Caenorhabditis elegans: one gene and its partner. The protein of the gene in region 2 interacts with the protein of the main gene of each other region in a pairwise test. Each region holds a gene or a part of one and is shown on either strand. Other genes may lie near its edges. The genes, in order: ubxn-1 and C25E10.8.

Region 1 (8,539 bases), on a different chromosome or scaffold from region 2:
GGCCGAGTTTTTTCTAGTTTGGAAACACGGCCACAGCGAAATGTGTAGCAATTTCTGTAGATCAAACCAAAGGTTTAAACCATACAGTACCCCGTACCTCTTCATAAAAATACGCGTGATTCGCAAACATCCAAACAGGATGCACCCCCATCCACTCGGAATTCACGCACTCATCATATCCAGCACGGCTCATTTCATTCCCGTCCAGCAGTGAAGACACGAGTTTACGACACGAACGACTTGGATATCCTTCCGGATAAATGTTTGGGTTCTCTGTCATGTTCTGAAAATGTTGAAACATGAATTTTTGTTCATTGATTGGAATGTGAGCTGTTAACTCCCTCGATGCACCATGAGGCTAAATTTAGTTTGACAGCCCATATCTCGGTGAATTCTGGTGCTATCAAAAACTTTTTGTATTTGTATTTGTATTTATTACGATTGAAATCGTGATTAAAAATAAATAGTGAATAGACATGAATAAGTTTTTAACTACAGAGCTATAGAAAATTATGCGCGCAATATTTTACCAGTTGACGGGTTTTTGACAACTGCAAAGAAAATCGAGATATGAGCTTCCAAAGTTAGCTGGGCTACTAGTGATCGATGCACCATGTCTTTGAAAGCCTATACTTCGGTTCATTTCGTAGCTGTCAAAAACTTTTTAACAACACATCTATAGAAATCAACATGCTTAATATTTCGTCAGTTGACAGTTTTTTGATAACTGCAATGAAATCCGAGATATGAGCTTTCAAAGTTGAGAGACCTCACTCGGTTGATGCACCATGTCTTTGACAGTCAATATCTCGGTTTATTTTGTAGCTATCAAAAAATTTTCAACTACAAATCTATAGAAAATTAAATGTTCAACATTTTCTCAGTTGACAGTTTTTTGATAACTGCAATGACATCCGAGATATGAGCTTTCAAAGTTGAGAGACCTCACTCGGTTGATGCACCATGTCTTTGACAGTCAATATCTCGGTTTATTTTGTAGCTATCAAAAAATTTTCAACTACAAATCTATAGAAAATTAAATGTTCAACATTTTCTCAGTTGACAGTTTTTTGATAACTGCAATGACATCCGAGATATAAGCTTTCAAAGTTGAGTAAACCCATTTTGTAGATGCACCATGAGGCTAAATCACTTTTGACCGCCCATATCTCGGTGAATTTTATAGCTATCAAAAACTTATAAATTACAAAACTATAGAAAATCATATGCGCAATATTTTAATATTTTGCTAGTTGACGGGTTTTTGATAACTGCAAAGAAAATTGAGAAATGAGCTTTCAAAGTTGAGTGTGCTACTTGTTATCGATGCACCATGTGCTTCACTATACTTTGGAATTCCATATCTCCGTTCATTTTGTAGTTATAAAAAAATTTTCAACTACAAAATTATAGAAAATTGTATGCTTATTATTCTGTCAGTTGACAATTTTTTAATAACTGCAAAGAAAATCGAGATATGAGCGTCCAAAGTTGAACTCATTATCGATGCAACACGTCTTGTAAACAAACTGCCAAGGCGAAGATGTACAACCCAACGCACCGGCCATTTTCCAGTGACCATCGTAAAAAGCACTATTCCACAAGCATAATAGTCCGCCGCGTAGGCTTCATAAGGCCGATATTTTGTGATTTGCGGGCATGTGTAGGGCTGAGTTCCACAGAATGATCGAGACCGTTCACGTCGTTCAATGTGTCTTGCAAATCCGAAATCGATGAGCTTAATATCCCCATTTCCGTCGATTAGAATATTTTCCAATTTCACATCTCGATGTACTATTCCTCTTTTGTGAAGATAATTGATCGCTTCGATGAGTTGACGGAATAGTGTGGCTGCTAATGGGTGCTCTGGAATAAAATGTTTCAACGTGGCCGAGATTATGCAAAGAGACAGCCAGCGAGCACGTGTTTCACCACACCCTCACCTTTCAAACGTTTCTTCTGGAGAATCCACTCGAGAAGTGTGCCACGTTCATAGTAATCCGAAATAATCACGAATTTCGTCGGCGCTGGTCGTGTGATCGCCAGGCACCGCGCAATATGTGGATGTCGAACCTTCATGGTGATCTCCAATTCGCGCGGGAAGAATTTCTCCGCCACGTTTGCCGGAATCGATTTTCGATCCACGATTTTCACAATCACTTCTCGACGATAAAGCTGCGAATCCACTTTGAAGACAACCGAGTGAGCGGTGGTGGCAATTGGACGAGGTGAGAATGTTCCAGACACGCTTAGTCCAATTCTACAGAAATTCAAAGGTTTTTAGTCTCAAACTAGGCCTGTAAAGTTTTTCTGAGGGAGCAGAAAGCCCATGCGCCTTTAGGCGATTACTGTGTCTTTTGCAATCAATTTCACAATCAGATTTTCTAATTAAATTTCGATTCTCTTTCGAAAAATAACAGGAAACCCGGAAAAATTGCGAAATAATCTGAAAAAGACCGTACTTTCTTAAAGGCGCACTCCTCATTTCACTCAAAGGTCCTGGCACGATTGTTACTTTTTAAAGCGAGCCGTGCGCTTTTAAAGGGGTACGGTGGAAATTTTTGCCGATTTCGCAATTTTTCCTGATTTTTCTTCCGCGGAATTCCAATATTTTGAGAATATTCGTTGGAAAAACGGCGAAAATCAAGAAAAACTCGAATTTTTGACCTCCAGAAACTCACATCGGAATCAACTTTTCTGTAGACGGAGAGAGTGTTGGCGTTGACATGTCATAACAATAAGGAATGTAGTTTTATTCGATAAAAAAAAGGTCTCACGCTTTGGAAAATTCGAGAACAAAGAAAAGTTCATAAAAATATAAAATACACGTGAAATTAAAAAAAATTAATTGCTCTATCACCAATCGTTATTCATATCACCGAAATCTTCCATAAGAGCATCTTCGTCAGCAGCTTCCTTGGCTTCCTGTTCCTCTCGCAGCCGCTCTTCCTCCATCATTCGATACTCTTCCTCGACATTTTCATCAATTTCAGCGGTTTTTTGGTCGGATTTTTCAGAATTTTTAGCTTTTTCAGTCGTGACTTCTGAAATTGAAAGATTTTTTGATTTTCTAATAACAAGTTTGGATAAATTTTGCAACCTTTCTCTGGTAAATCCTTGAATAAATCATCGTCATTATCACTCGCTCCATCATCAATAATTCCATTCTTTTGATTCTCCTGCTCCTCGTGCTCAGAATCCTCGCCAGTCTCTCCAAGCCGGTGCTTGATCATGAAAACTTTAACCTGCCGCCGTGTTCCCAGTGTCTCGACTCGATTCAGAACATCTTCGGTTTTCATCTTCGGAAACATCAAATGTCCCCAGTATGCGTATTTTTTCATCAATTTCTCCAGATTTGCGTACTGAAAAGGGAAAATTATTGTATTTTTTAACTTTCAAATTTACCGGATCATCCTTGGGATTTGGCTTGAAATCTTTTAAAGTCTCCCGAAGAGCTGAAATTCCTTTCGGCCCGGTCAAAATTCGCTCATTCAGTGCTAGGCGTGGATTCTAAAGTTTGAAAAAATTTAAATAAATCATAGAAAATAAGCGTTTTACTGCTAGTCTTTTAGTCCTTAACAATTTCGGCTCCACGACTCGTCTAGTGCCTCCCTCGCCGCTGTTATCTGAACAAAACTTTAATTAAAACCCGATTTCTCACACGAAATTCTAGATACCTTCGATTGCTTCGTCTCCCATAGGGCTTGGCTCTCGATCCAATTCATCATTTTCGAAGAAATCTTCCATTTCGTCCATTTTTCTGGAAAAAAAGTTGATTTTCGATCGAAATTTCTAGGTTTTCGTGCAGAAAACGAAAAAAAATGCAAAAATCTTAGCGTTTAAAAAACTATTTTCAAACAACGCGCCGACAAAATCGGCTGAATCGCGTCGAGACCCGATCGATTAAATGCGTGCGCCTTTAAAGAAAGTCAGCATTCTCTTTGTGTTCTTGGCTAGAAAAAGTGTTCCAGTCCATTTATTATCTGAATTTTCTGATTTAAACGCATTTCTTAAGGTTTTTTATTAATTAAACCACTTTATTGTTAATATATCACTGTTTTGAACAGCTTATTTCGTAAAAAATCCCAAAATTCTTCTGGAAAATGAGAAAAAATCTAGTTTTTCGCCAAATTGTCGCATTTCTTTCCAGAATAACAATGTCGATCGCCCAACAACTCATGGATATGGGCTTCCCAGCCGACAAAGCCGAGGCCGCCGCCGGAAACAACAGAAATCTCGATCAGGCGTTGGATTGGATTGAGAAGGACGGAGCCGGTGTACCAATGGAGACAGATGCTCCAGCTCAAGCTGCTCCAGGAGCCGCTGACAGTGGTGCACCCCCGGTAGCCGCCAGTTTTAAGTGTGATGAGTGAGTTTTTCCCCCCTACGATTCTTATTAATTATTTCTCCAAATTTTTTTTTCCAGCTGCGGAAAGCTTCTCGCCAACGATGATGCTATCATGTTCCACGCTTCGAAGACAAAGCACGAGAATTTCAGCGAAAGCTCGGAAGCTATCAAGCCTCTCACTGCAGAGGAAAAGGCCGCAAAAGTCCTGGAAATCCGAGAAAAAATCAAAGTCCATCAGGCCAAAAAGGCAAAGCTCGAGGCCGAAGAGAATCGTGAGAAGGAGAAAAAGCGTCGTGAGGATGGAAAAGCCATGATCAGCCATAAAGAAGCCGCCAGAGATCGTGAAATTCGGTTAGAAAACTGTTTTCCATTGAATTTAAATAATAATATTCCCAATTTGCAGAGAAGCCGCTCAAGATCGTCGCCGCGAAAAGAACGAAGACGAAATCGCCAGAAAACGAGTTCTCGAGCAAATCCGGCTTGACAAGGAAGCCCGTAAGGCAAAAGCTTCAGGCCAACCGGTTCCAGAGGCAAAGCCTGCTCCGTCTGCAGCTCCAGTTGCTCCGCCAAAAGACTACTCAACTACAACTCTTCAATTCCGACTTCTCGATGGACAAACTGTTAGACAACAGTTTGAAGCTAATGAGCCGGTAATTTAAATATTCTCGACTCCCTTGAATTAATTTTTCAGCTCGCAATGGTCCGCGCCTGGGTCGAAACTAATCACGCAAACGGTGTTCCGTTCACCCTGATGACCCCATTCCCCCGCAAAGTGTTCACCGAGGATGATATGGGAACACCGCTCAAAGTTCTCAGTGAGTTTTGCTCAAAAAGGCCGGATTTCATGATGAAACTTGGAAATTTTCGAAAAAAAAAGTGGACGATTTTCAGCTATTTCGCCAACTTTTCCTGTTCACAGCTGCCGGAAATTTATTTTTATTCGATTTTTGTCCTTCTTCAGCAAAAAGACTCAATTTAACTGAAGAATCTGAAAAAGTGCTCAAAAATGGCCTAGAAGTCACGAATTGTCAATTGTAAGGCAATTTTTGAGCACTTTCGAATTTTTCAGTTAAATTAAGTATTATTTTCAGAAAAATCAACTGATTTTCTATATTTTGACACTAATTTTTAAATATTGGAGCAGTATGGTGCAATTTGACTTTAAATGTGCCTAAATCAACGAAAAAAACGCTAAAATATATAGATTTCTGCTGTAATTGGGCCATTTTTTCGAAAAAAATAAATAAAAATTTGAAAAGTTTCGTTATGAATTTTGGTTTTTTGAGACCAAAAAAATGTTCATTCTCTAATTTTTTTTTAAAATTTTCAGATTTGGTACCATCCGCCAACGTCATTCTCAACCGTGCCGCCTGAATCTTCAAAACTAAATTCCCACAATTTACTGCTAATTTTCTCTCCCCCCTCTCCCGAATGCTGGTATCACTTGTAAACTAAACATGTATATTGAGCATGTATAAAAATTTTCCGATAAACTTTTTTCCCCTCCATATATCTCGAGGCTCTTCATCTCCTCGTGATCTTCGAATTCCCGTCAGTTTTGCTCTCCGAGCTCTTGCCACAGATTTCTGACAAGCTGCAGGACAATCATATCTCCAGAGTGATTGGAAGCATTAGAACCTGGAAGATATTGGAATAAAAACCTGCGTACTGCACAACATATTTGACGCGCAAAATATCTCGCAGCGAAAACTGCAGTAATTCTTTAAATGATTACTGTAGGTCGATTTACGGGCTCAGATTTTCTTTTCGATTTAATTTAAGAGGCCCCACCAAAACGGAATGCAACTCAAAACAGGATACAGGGGCGGAGCCTATTTCGCAACCACCGCATGCTTTTTCCGCAAGCCTCGCACGTTTTTTCTCTTTAAAAAATGCAACAACATCAAGGAAAAAACGTGCGAGGCTTGCGGGAAAAGCATGCGCGGTTGTTGCGAAATAGGCTCCGCCCTTGCATCCTGTTTTGGTGAATCCTGTTTTGAGTTGCATTCTGTTTTGGTGGGGCCTCTAATTTAATATTCTATCGAGAAATACACGAGCCCGTAAATCGACACAAGAGCGCTACAGTAGTCATTTAAAGAATTACTGTAGTTTTCGCTTCGAGATATAATTAAATTCCAAACTTGTTGTTATTTTTCAATGATACAGTAGAAAGTTGCGAGGAAATATTTCGCACTATAAGTCCAGCCATTCTCGTTTTTCCATCAGGTTTTCCTTAATTTTTTCAACAACAAAAGTACAAAAACACAAAAATTCAAAATTCAAGTTTATTGAAATTTCTAGCAGTTCTGATTCTCTCTAGCTAATTTCTTGATCACTTCGATAGCTTCTTAAAATGTGCCAACCCCAAAAACTCTGGCTGGATCTCGCAAATCTGATGGCAGTTCATCCATGTTTCCCGTTGGCATGATAACTCTCAGATTTCTTGCAAATGCTGCACGCGTTCTTACCACGATATTGCCAACCTGAAAATATGCTCGGGTTGTACTAGTTTTTCAAACACATGAATGAAAATCTGTACTATTTAAAAGTGTTCTAAACTTCTAGCTACGAAATTAAAAACAAAAAGTTGAAGAAACACAGACACCTCGAGACCCAAAGTGGAGGGAAGAAACGGTTTGTATCGATTTACAATTTTTTACTCTTCCCCCGACCTGCCTCTTGGGTCCCGGGATGTCTATCTCTCTACAATTGACTACACTCTCTGTATGGGCAATAGTGGAGAAAAGCGTTTTCATAATTTTTAACGCCCTTCATTTTTTTAAAATGTACTTCTTTAAGGCTACTTCTGAAAGAAATCGGAAAAATATTCAAATAGTCGATTTCCGAGAAATAATGAGAGACGTAGAAATGCATAGTGTGCATGTGTGAGAGATCGTTGCAAACGAAGAGGTAGAAGATTTTTCTGCTGTCATTTCAGGGTTGCGTGCATAATTATCACTCAAATGTAGGAATGAGGTGAATAAAAAAGGTCAAAATTCGTAATTTTTTTCGCTGCATATCAATTTTTTCAAATTTTAGAAACTCGTGTTATCAAGAATAATTTTTCATTCAGAAGTACATATGGTATAATCTCTTGCAAACTCCTAAAAAAAAGTTTGTTTGGTTTTCTTGAAACCAAAAAAATAAAATAAATAAAAACGAAAAAAGTTGTTGCACTGAAATTCTGTCACAAGAAAAATTTAACCGGAAGTTGTTGTCTGATTTTGTGGGTTAAGATCTACGACTGTGGTGAGTTTCATAACATTTAGCCTGGTAGTTTTTTGTTACAACACCTTTTTTTTGGTAGGTATTTGTTGGTTTTCGAAAGACCCAGCCCAGGGCCTGATTAGGGTAGACCGAGCTCAAACCGTCTTTCATGTAACCTCCCAATGACCAGCAAAAAATATATGTCTCCTCCTCACTCACAACAATCTCTTACTCACGCACACTGCGCTTCTACGTCTCTCCCTATTTCTCCGAAGGTTAAACTGCCTTTGTCAGTACGGATTTAGTTCTGAAGGATACAACACCGACTAATCATAACTGTGTCAAACATGTTAACTTTTCGAATTTTTTTTCACTTCTTTCACTTATTTTTGCAAAACATTATTTTGAAACATTAGCTCTGTTTGAGATGAGATTTTGAGCTATTATAAAAATATGCTATGTCGGGTCATTTTTATCTTATGATTTTTTTTTCAAAACTGGGTTGCTCTTCCCTTTGTCTATGATATTGTTATTTTTTAATTTTACTAGCTACAATTGAAAAAAACAATCAAGCAATAGAAAACTCATTCCATCGCGTTATTCAAGTAGTGTCGTGAAACTAAAAAGTGTATTTCAATACACTTTTTTCCTTATTCAAGTAACAATAAAAGCATGTATCTCAATAAAGTTTGTGGCGTCATTTCGCAAAATTTTCCCACGTTTCTCGACATTTTTCCACAGTTGTTTTATCAGAAATTTTTGGTTGTCGGATAATGTCGAGAAATGCAGAGAAATGCCGCGAAATTACGTCACAAACTGCATTTAAATACATGTTTTTGAAGTTACTTGAATAAGGCAAAAGAGGTATTGAAATGCACTTTCTAATTTTACGACACTACTTGAATAACCCCTATGATTTACTATATTTAAAGCGCTTATTCCGTTTGTCCATAGTTTGTAGTTTATGTAGTCTTTGTAGTCTGT
Region 2 (7,762 bases):
GTCACATTCATCTAAACTTGTACAGGTTCCACTATTCCTGACCAATCCTGGAAGGCATCGGCAGACATTCCGGATGCATCGATCATGTTCACAAGATGTTGGGTACGGGTCATCACAAGTTGGTTGACAAAGTGTTCCACAAGTCTGGAATACTTCATCTTCTGGACATCTGGATGTTTCTGCAGTGCATTCAAGTCGACGGACACAATCATTTTTTGTGTTCCTCACGTAGCCATCCTTACAAACACAAGCGTTCGGTTTACACTCCAAACTGCATACAGTCTGAAAATAAATGTTCCTCTCGTGGTTTTAGTTTGGTTTGACTTTCTGATTTTTTCGTTTCGACTGTCTGATGTTTGAAAATTTTGGATTCTACAAAAAAATTATTCAAAAACTGTTATTGTCCGTTTCCAAGATAATCTTTTCTTCAAACTGTACCCAATATTGAGAATAGTGTGGTTTAACGGCCGCTTCTCATTCATCATTCTCAGTTGGTATATATATATAGAAAACGCTTCTGAATGACTTCATAAAGTTTTCAATATAAAAGCAAAATTTTTATAATATCTATAATAGTGTCTATCTGAAAAAAGGAACGGCAAAACAGTTTTATTCCTAACCTTTGACAGTAATACCTCAAATGAAAAAAAGCAGAACCAAAACGTTCCTGCTATTTTAGAATTGAAAAGATAACTTACTGGATCAAATCCGCATTGTGGTTCACAATCATAACCACAAGCCACTCGTTTTTGGTTTTTCCCACATTCTGGTAAAAACGGGGCTCCTGGTGTGATCCATTGTGTGGCTGATCCCATGCTTAAGTAAAAGCTGAGAAATAAGAAAGTCTTCTGAAAAGTAATACTCGGATGAATAACACATGCTTTAACTATGTAATGCAGGCTTACCATTGTTATTTGCAGATTTTCCGTGTTGGACAATGAACAGACTGAAAAGTGAACGACGGAGAACTCTGAGCGAATATTTGGGCGGTCTCAAGTAGTTACCGGAAGAGTGAAAAAGACGTTCTTTAATATATAATTATAAATGGAAATCAGCCAGAAATGAAATGATAATGACAAGGTTTTCATTTGAAACGAGAGGGAAAAGATATTCAAGAATTGGAAATTTAGAATGAGTTTCAGCCACATCTCATAACTTCACACATTCATTATGTTTGTTTGAAAAGTCACAAAGTTATAATGAAAATGAACATTTATTTATTAAGACACCAATACTGGCTAAAGAAGAAACTAAATTCTATTTCCCTTTTGCCAAAGGTATTTTTGAAAACACTGAATTTGATTCTAAGAACAGAAGTACTGTAAAGAAATGATAAAAGGTATGGCTTAGAATAAAATTGCATTATCTGAATACTGAATATGTGATGTTAAGCTTTCAGTACAGAACAACTTTTTTTATTGAAAAAAATGTAAAAATAACTTTATTGATAAAACCGTTTCCAAAACTGAGCTTATATACCAGTCAAACGGGAAAACTTTAGTTTAAAAAATACCTAGAAACTAGACAGGTGAATTGCGTTCAAAAATCATATATGATCTGCTAAATGTCAGCATAAAATGGATTCCTTGAAAAGTAATTTAGTAAAATCGTACCGGAATTCAGTGAAAAGTGATACAAGTTCGGAAGACAAAACGGGTCTCAATAATTTAGATGTGCAAAAAGCTTATTGACGTAAATTTTATGTATAATTATGGAAAGTACGTAATACTTTTTTGGTAACGCAGAATATCGAATAAATCTGCTCATGAAATTTTCTAACTTCGAAGTAAGTGCATTCTTAAAATCAAAGTTTTGATTCGATTTTTTTGGCAGAAAGGTATAACTCAAAAGTCCCGAAACAAAAAATATACATTTTGTTAACGGGCTTAAACAGACGCAGTTATTTAACTTCATAGTTCAATTCAAAAATGACGGCGGTCTCGAAAAAAAATTTGAGCCTCTCACTTTTTTGCATCATCGAAAATCTATTTCCTTTTGCGCATCGGTAGGTGTGAAATTTGAAGCGTCATTGAAAAGGTCAAGTTAAACGTTTTTTTGGCATTTCAAATAGTATAGACCTAAACGTATATATTATATTTGAATTCGTTTCATTTTTGAAGTAATATTGTAGTGAACTATAATATTGAGACATTCAGTTACGCACTATGTTTTGTCATACTTATTTCTTAGTATATGCATTTGATACAAAATACAAACTCGGAGGTTCAAAATTGTAGACTCGAGCATTGTCAGATGTGTATTTCAATAATTAACGTGTTTATAAATAATGAGCGAAATACTATGACGGCATGAAAACGTCATGTGTTTAAATAGAAAAACTAACAAAGGCGTCGAAAGTCAAAAGTTTCAAAAATATAAAGTAAAGGGAAAAATTAATTTCCTATAACTTTTGCCAAATTTTTTCTGGGACAAATGATATTGTGCAGAAATTGGCAGAACCTTTCTGACGCGTACCTATTGGTATTTATGAATGTGATTATTTTTATGTTTACGAGGTAGAAAACAATTGCAAATGCTCACGTAAAATAGCGTAGTCTTTCATTTTCCAGAATGTGCCTGGAAAAAACGCTGCTGTAAAAGAATCGTGATTTTTGAATTAAAAAGTTTTAAGCGTCTACGACATTTTCTAACCTAGACATTACAAAAGAATGATTGATCTTTTTTTGAATAATTTCCTTGCTTAAGTTTCTTATTTGTTTTTTGTGTGTATGTTCCTATATTAAGAAACCAAGTAGGGGATGAGCTCAGCTCTGCCACACGGTTAAATTTTTTAACGCATTTTTTAACGAATTTTTTTTCCAAAAAAATATATGATGCCAACATTTAAACTGTCTGTTTTTGTCGCTTTTGGAATGTTTATGAAACAACAATTGCCAATCCTAAAAAAAGTTTTGTGTGTAGCATCGAACCTATAAGACCAAATGAAATTCAATACTCTAGTGAGGTAATCTGTACCCAAAAACGAAAACTTTGTGTACTCCGATCGGACACAGTTTTCCATCGGAATGATATCACGATCACGGCATTGTTTGTGTTTTGTTCCAAAAAAGAAATATAAATTCGTTTCCATTTTTCCAGTTCATGGTAACCGAATGTTATTCTATTTGGCAATTTGTTGGTTTTTCTCAGAATATGAAATTCAACGATTTATTATCACAAATGTGAATACAAAATGTTCACTTTGGGCACTCCTTGAGTTCGGTGCATCTGTAACCGTTTCGGACAAAACCACTGGAACACTGGCAAACATTTACAATGCATTGTCTGGTACATGGTCTTGGTCCTGGTTTTTCACAAGTTGGCTCACAAGCGGTTCCGCATCGGAAGAATGTCTCATTTTCCGGACATTTGCTAGTTTCCTTGGTACAGGTGGAAATATCGACACATTTTCCAAGTGAATTACGCACAAATCCTTTCTTGCAGTCGCATGCGTTTTCAATACATTGAGCAGATAGACACACTTTCTGAAAATTAAATATTATAGGAGAACATGGAAAATTATAGATTACTGGAGTGTATCCGCATTGTGTCTCACAGTGATCATGGCATGCAACCATTTCCTCGTTGGCTCCACATGTCTCTGAAAAGTAAAATGTTTATTTTCCAGAAATATTTAACAATAATCATTTAAAAATAAACTTACTATTGGCAGCTGTCGCAGCAGCAATAAAACAGGCAATTATGACAAAAGTTCTCTAAAAACTCATTAGTTTTTGCATTGCTCTAATGAAAAAAAGAACGAACCATCACAGAAAGAAAAGTAATGCAGCAGTCTGATGTTTTCTTTTGAAATGACTCTATTTATTGTTCGAGAACACTAAATCACGCAGAGGACTCTAGTCTATCAAAACCGCCCTTTTGTTTGCCAGAGACATAGACATTGAAAAAAAACGATGACCAATAAATCCAAAAGATCAAACAGAGTTTTTTTTAGTTTTTCATGCCAGGAAAAATAATACTGATGTAACAATTGTGTTATCAATAATAGCACACAACTCCAGTTTCCTTCATCACACTTCTTTTTGAATTTTTTCCAATATTTGATGGTTTATTGAACTTGGAAATGTTTACTCAAAAACAAATTATTTTGGACAATCTTTCTTATCAATGCATCTGAGTCCATGACGAACGAAACCTTTGGAGCATTGGCAGACATTGACGATACATTGTTTAGTGCAAACTGTTGGATTTGGTTTCTCACAAGTTGCTTCACAAGCTGTTCCACAGCCAAAGAATGTCTCATTTTCTGGGCATTTTGTAGTTTCCTTGGTGCATTCAGATACTTCGACGCATTTTCCAAGAGAATTACGAACAAATCCGTCTTTACAGTCACATGTGTTCATGATACATTGCTCCGTGCAAGCTTTCTAAATTTTGAAACTTTCAGTAATGGGAGACACATTAAGTTAATTGTTACAGGGGTATATCCACATTGTGGTTCACATGTATTATGGCACGATACCAGCTCCTCATTGGCTTCACATGTTTCTAAAAAAATATTTATGATCTGGTAACCGTTCAAGTACCAAATCACATATATTTACTTACTTGTGGCGGTAGCAACAGCAACGATGCATGTGATTATGACAAGTATCCTCTGTAAGTGTATAATTTTTATATTAGAAAAAAAACTCAAAAACTCACCATTTTCACAATAACGAAGGGCAACCAACCGATGTTTTGCTTTTTAACGGCTCTATTTATTGTGCCGGAACACTAAAAAACGGCAGAACCGCCCTTTTTTTCGGAAGGGATGATACGAGAAACATGATAAGATCGAATGGGAGATATTATAGGTCTTCTCAATCTTTTGGAGAGAAATTTATCTTTCACCGGTCACGTATTTATTTTGTAAATTGGGCTCACAACAAAGGTTTAAAAATCTCGAAGAATTTGTATTCGAAAATTCAGAAAAAATCAGAAACACATTAAATCGAGAACCTTACGAAATTTCATTCCGACCAATGATTTTAATGAATCAATTCACTAGAAGATATCAATTTAAAACGTATCGCTTGGTGCAAATAGTTTTGGCTTGGCTCACTGGAGAGTATTTCGAATGTGTTTCATCCATAATTACCAACTTAACATTGTTTGGTTAACACTGACTTTTTGTATTCATTGTATTGCAACACGGAATAGTTCATAAGTTTTTTGGCTATTGAAAAGGAATACAAATATTATGTTAAAATTCGAATATTGTTATTTTTAAATTTTCTGAAAACATTAGCATGAAAACATCAATATTAAAATATGAGAAAAACAACTTTTTTTTTAATCATCGAAAATATTATTCAGTGGTATGTTGTGCAACACATACGTCCACAATTTGGCATGGTTTCTCCTCACAAGTCAGCTCCACAAGTTCACATTTTTCGTTCTCAGAGCATTCAAGAGTGCATTTGCCTGAATGAAAAATTTATGACTAGTATTATGTGCAGGTTTTCAGCGAATAATCACTGATGGTTAAATTGGTTAAAGTCTAGTAATAAATTTTGAAGCTTACTGCATTTATTTTTCTCCACACATTTTCCAGTTGCCGAGTCTCTGACGAGTCCTTTCTTACACTGGCAGACGTTTGTCATACACACCAAATCACATTCCTGAGAAACAATTTATGATCATACATAATCTCAACGTTGATTTACTGGATTCTCGTTATCACATGTCGGTTCACACGCTGAGCCACACGCCTTGAGCTCTTCATCGCCCTCACATTCCGGTTTGCGGATTGCTGGAAGTTTCCAAGAACCACTGGATATTTTTGGTTTCACTACACTTACGGATTGGCACGCACTTTGGATCAACTGAACAATCGTCTTCAGAACCACATTCCAAGTCACTGACTGGCAGTTCGCATCTGAAAAAATATTTTAAAATTTATAATTGGAAATATTAAAACCTATAATTATCAGGACATTTGATAGAACCACAGAGTGCGTCTGTGTGAGAAATGGGCATGTTTTCTGTGTTTTCTGAAAATAAGTCATTTGATTTTTAAATAAAACCTTGGTACTCACTAAGAACTCCAGATCTAGCAAAAGCAAGAAGAGCAAAGAAAATAAATAATTGAAAATTCTGAAAAAACACACTTTCATTTGTTGTAAGATATGAAGAAAAAACCACTCACCATTTTGATGAAAGAATTTCTGAAGAAACTTTCGGAGTGGGGAAGTTATGAGAAGGAAGCAATCATTGAAATAAAATTGACAGGCGTGAGACCGAGGATGAGTCAAAAGATTAATGACTTGGTGAGACCGGAGAGAGTTCAGCCGACCGGAATATTTCTTGAGTGCTGTTTTTTTAAGTTTAAAAATATGTTATTTACAAAATTACTTTCTACGAAAGTACGCCTGAGAAGAACAAAGAAGTAACTGTTTTCGGTTTTTGCTTGAATAGACTCAAAATGCGCCCTAGGCAAAATTTTGGTAATGAGAAATCTCAAAAATTATGCAATTTTTTTGAGAAGTCTTATTATGAAAGTTGCCCATTTGAGTATTTTTATTATATACAAGCAAAAACTCAAGACTGTTGGAACAGAAGATTAACTGCTGGGATGGGCTTTGAATATATTCAAAATAGCTCCAAAAGCCAGAAACTTCATAAAAATAACTCGCAAAAATACTCAAAAACTGTGTACAGCCGTTCAAAAATTTTTAACGTTGTTTCCAAATTGTGAAAAAAATAGTAAAAGAAACAAACAATAAATATTTTGTCAGCTAACAATCTTTGTTTAGAACAAACGACAATTGAGATACGCTGATCAGCTGCCAAAGTCGAACAATAGGTGTGATTCTAATAGATAAAACACGGTACTTTCCAGTTCCAATAATTCCAATACCCCTAAATCTAATTCATTTATGAGAAGTCTCCTATTGAAAATTGATAATTTTAAACACGTTTATGTGGTTAGTTTGCTCTCAAAACAGTTTGCTCCGTCGAAAATTTTTTAAAAGAAGCTTTCAGATAATAACTTTTTGATTATTCAAGTACAAGTTTTGGCAAGTCTACAAACTTCTTGACAATTCCCTCAAGCTTATATATAAAAACTTTGGCATTGTTTGTTAGAAATCGTTTGGTTATTCTGACATTTGAAAATTGATTTATTACACTGTATGAAATTCACAAAATTCCATCACAGTGTCGATTTTTTTAGCAAAATACAATTTGAATGATCTCTTGGATTGCTTCCTTCTGGACATGCAAAAATCTTGCAAGCGGGGCCAACAGGACATGGCTTGTTAATACATGGAATAGGCACAGGAATACATATGGATTGACCGTAACATGTTACAAAGTCACATGCATCTGGTAGTTGTGAATGTGAATATTTAGCCAGAAATATAAAATAACAGAACAGAAAAAGTAACTTCATTTCTATAAACTGAAGTGAATGAAAACAATCAAAAAGGAAAACATGGGAAAATGCATTGCGTGACTACGAAAAATAAAAGGAAATGTGCCTAACGAGAAGAAGTATAATTGAATTTTCTGTCTTGATAGTCCTCGAAAGATTTATCCGAGCAAATTGCCATCAACGGATCACATGTTTTATTTGGAAGACATTCTACTTTTGCAACTTTGCAAACTGTCTCTCCGTAACATTTCACTGTTGGTCCATTCAAACAAAGCCGATCGTAATCTTTCAAATTTAAATGAGTACTGAGAATAGTATAGGGACGGTTTTCCCGAGCCAATCTGGGTTTGTCTTCTGAAATTATTTGTTAGTCGTGGTAAAACT

What was found.
Region 1: the proteins of C25E10.8 (region 2) and ubxn-1 interact in a two-hybrid assay, tested with the Caenorhabditis elegans proteins (one large-scale study listed by BioGRID).

The regions. Positions count from the first base shown.
Region 1 is NC_003279.8:2,429,854-2,438,392, forward strand, and holds ubxn-1 (UBX domain-containing protein 1), read left to right. Parts: upstream 1-4,148; 5' UTR 4,149-4,157; coding exon 4,158-4,369; intron 4,370-4,426; coding exon 4,427-4,699; intron 4,700-4,751; coding exon 4,752-4,998; intron 4,999-5,039; coding exon 5,040-5,163; intron 5,164-5,678; coding exon 5,679-5,722; 3' UTR 5,723-5,838; downstream 5,839-8,539. Other genes in the region: F23C8.8 (Protein kinase domain-containing protein), read right to left, coding at 98-283, 1,562-1,866, 1,944-2,260, 2,682-2,728; tipn-1 (Protein TIPIN homolog), read right to left, coding at 2,857-3,044, 3,101-3,362, 3,406-3,510, 3,559-3,626, 3,678-3,756; F23C8.14 (Lon proteolytic domain-containing protein), read right to left, coding at 6,697-6,831, 7,139-7,231. UniProt on the Caenorhabditis elegans protein: Ubiquitin-binding protein which acts as an adapter for ATPase cdc-48.1 and/or cdc-48.2, conferring substrate specificity.
Region 2 is NC_003283.11:9,050,165-9,057,926, forward strand, and holds C25E10.8 (TIL domain-containing protein), read right to left. Parts: upstream 3,906-7,762; 5' UTR 3,769-3,905; coding exon 3,766-3,768; intron 3,717-3,765; coding exon 3,665-3,716; intron 3,602-3,664; coding exon 3,531-3,601; intron 3,486-3,530; coding exon 3,198-3,485; 3' UTR 3,098-3,197; downstream 1-3,097. Other genes in the region: spi-3 (TIL domain-containing protein), read right to left, coding at 1-282, 699-848, 906-908; Serine protease inhibitor swm-1, read right to left, coding at 4,104-4,388, 4,439-4,509, 4,570-4,618, 4,666-4,668; C25E10.10 (TIL domain-containing protein), read right to left, coding at 5,312-5,427, 5,528-5,624, 5,670-5,755, 5,805-5,881, 5,924-5,996, 6,042-6,099, 6,152-6,154; C25E10.11 (INSulin related), read right to left, coding at 7,485-7,732.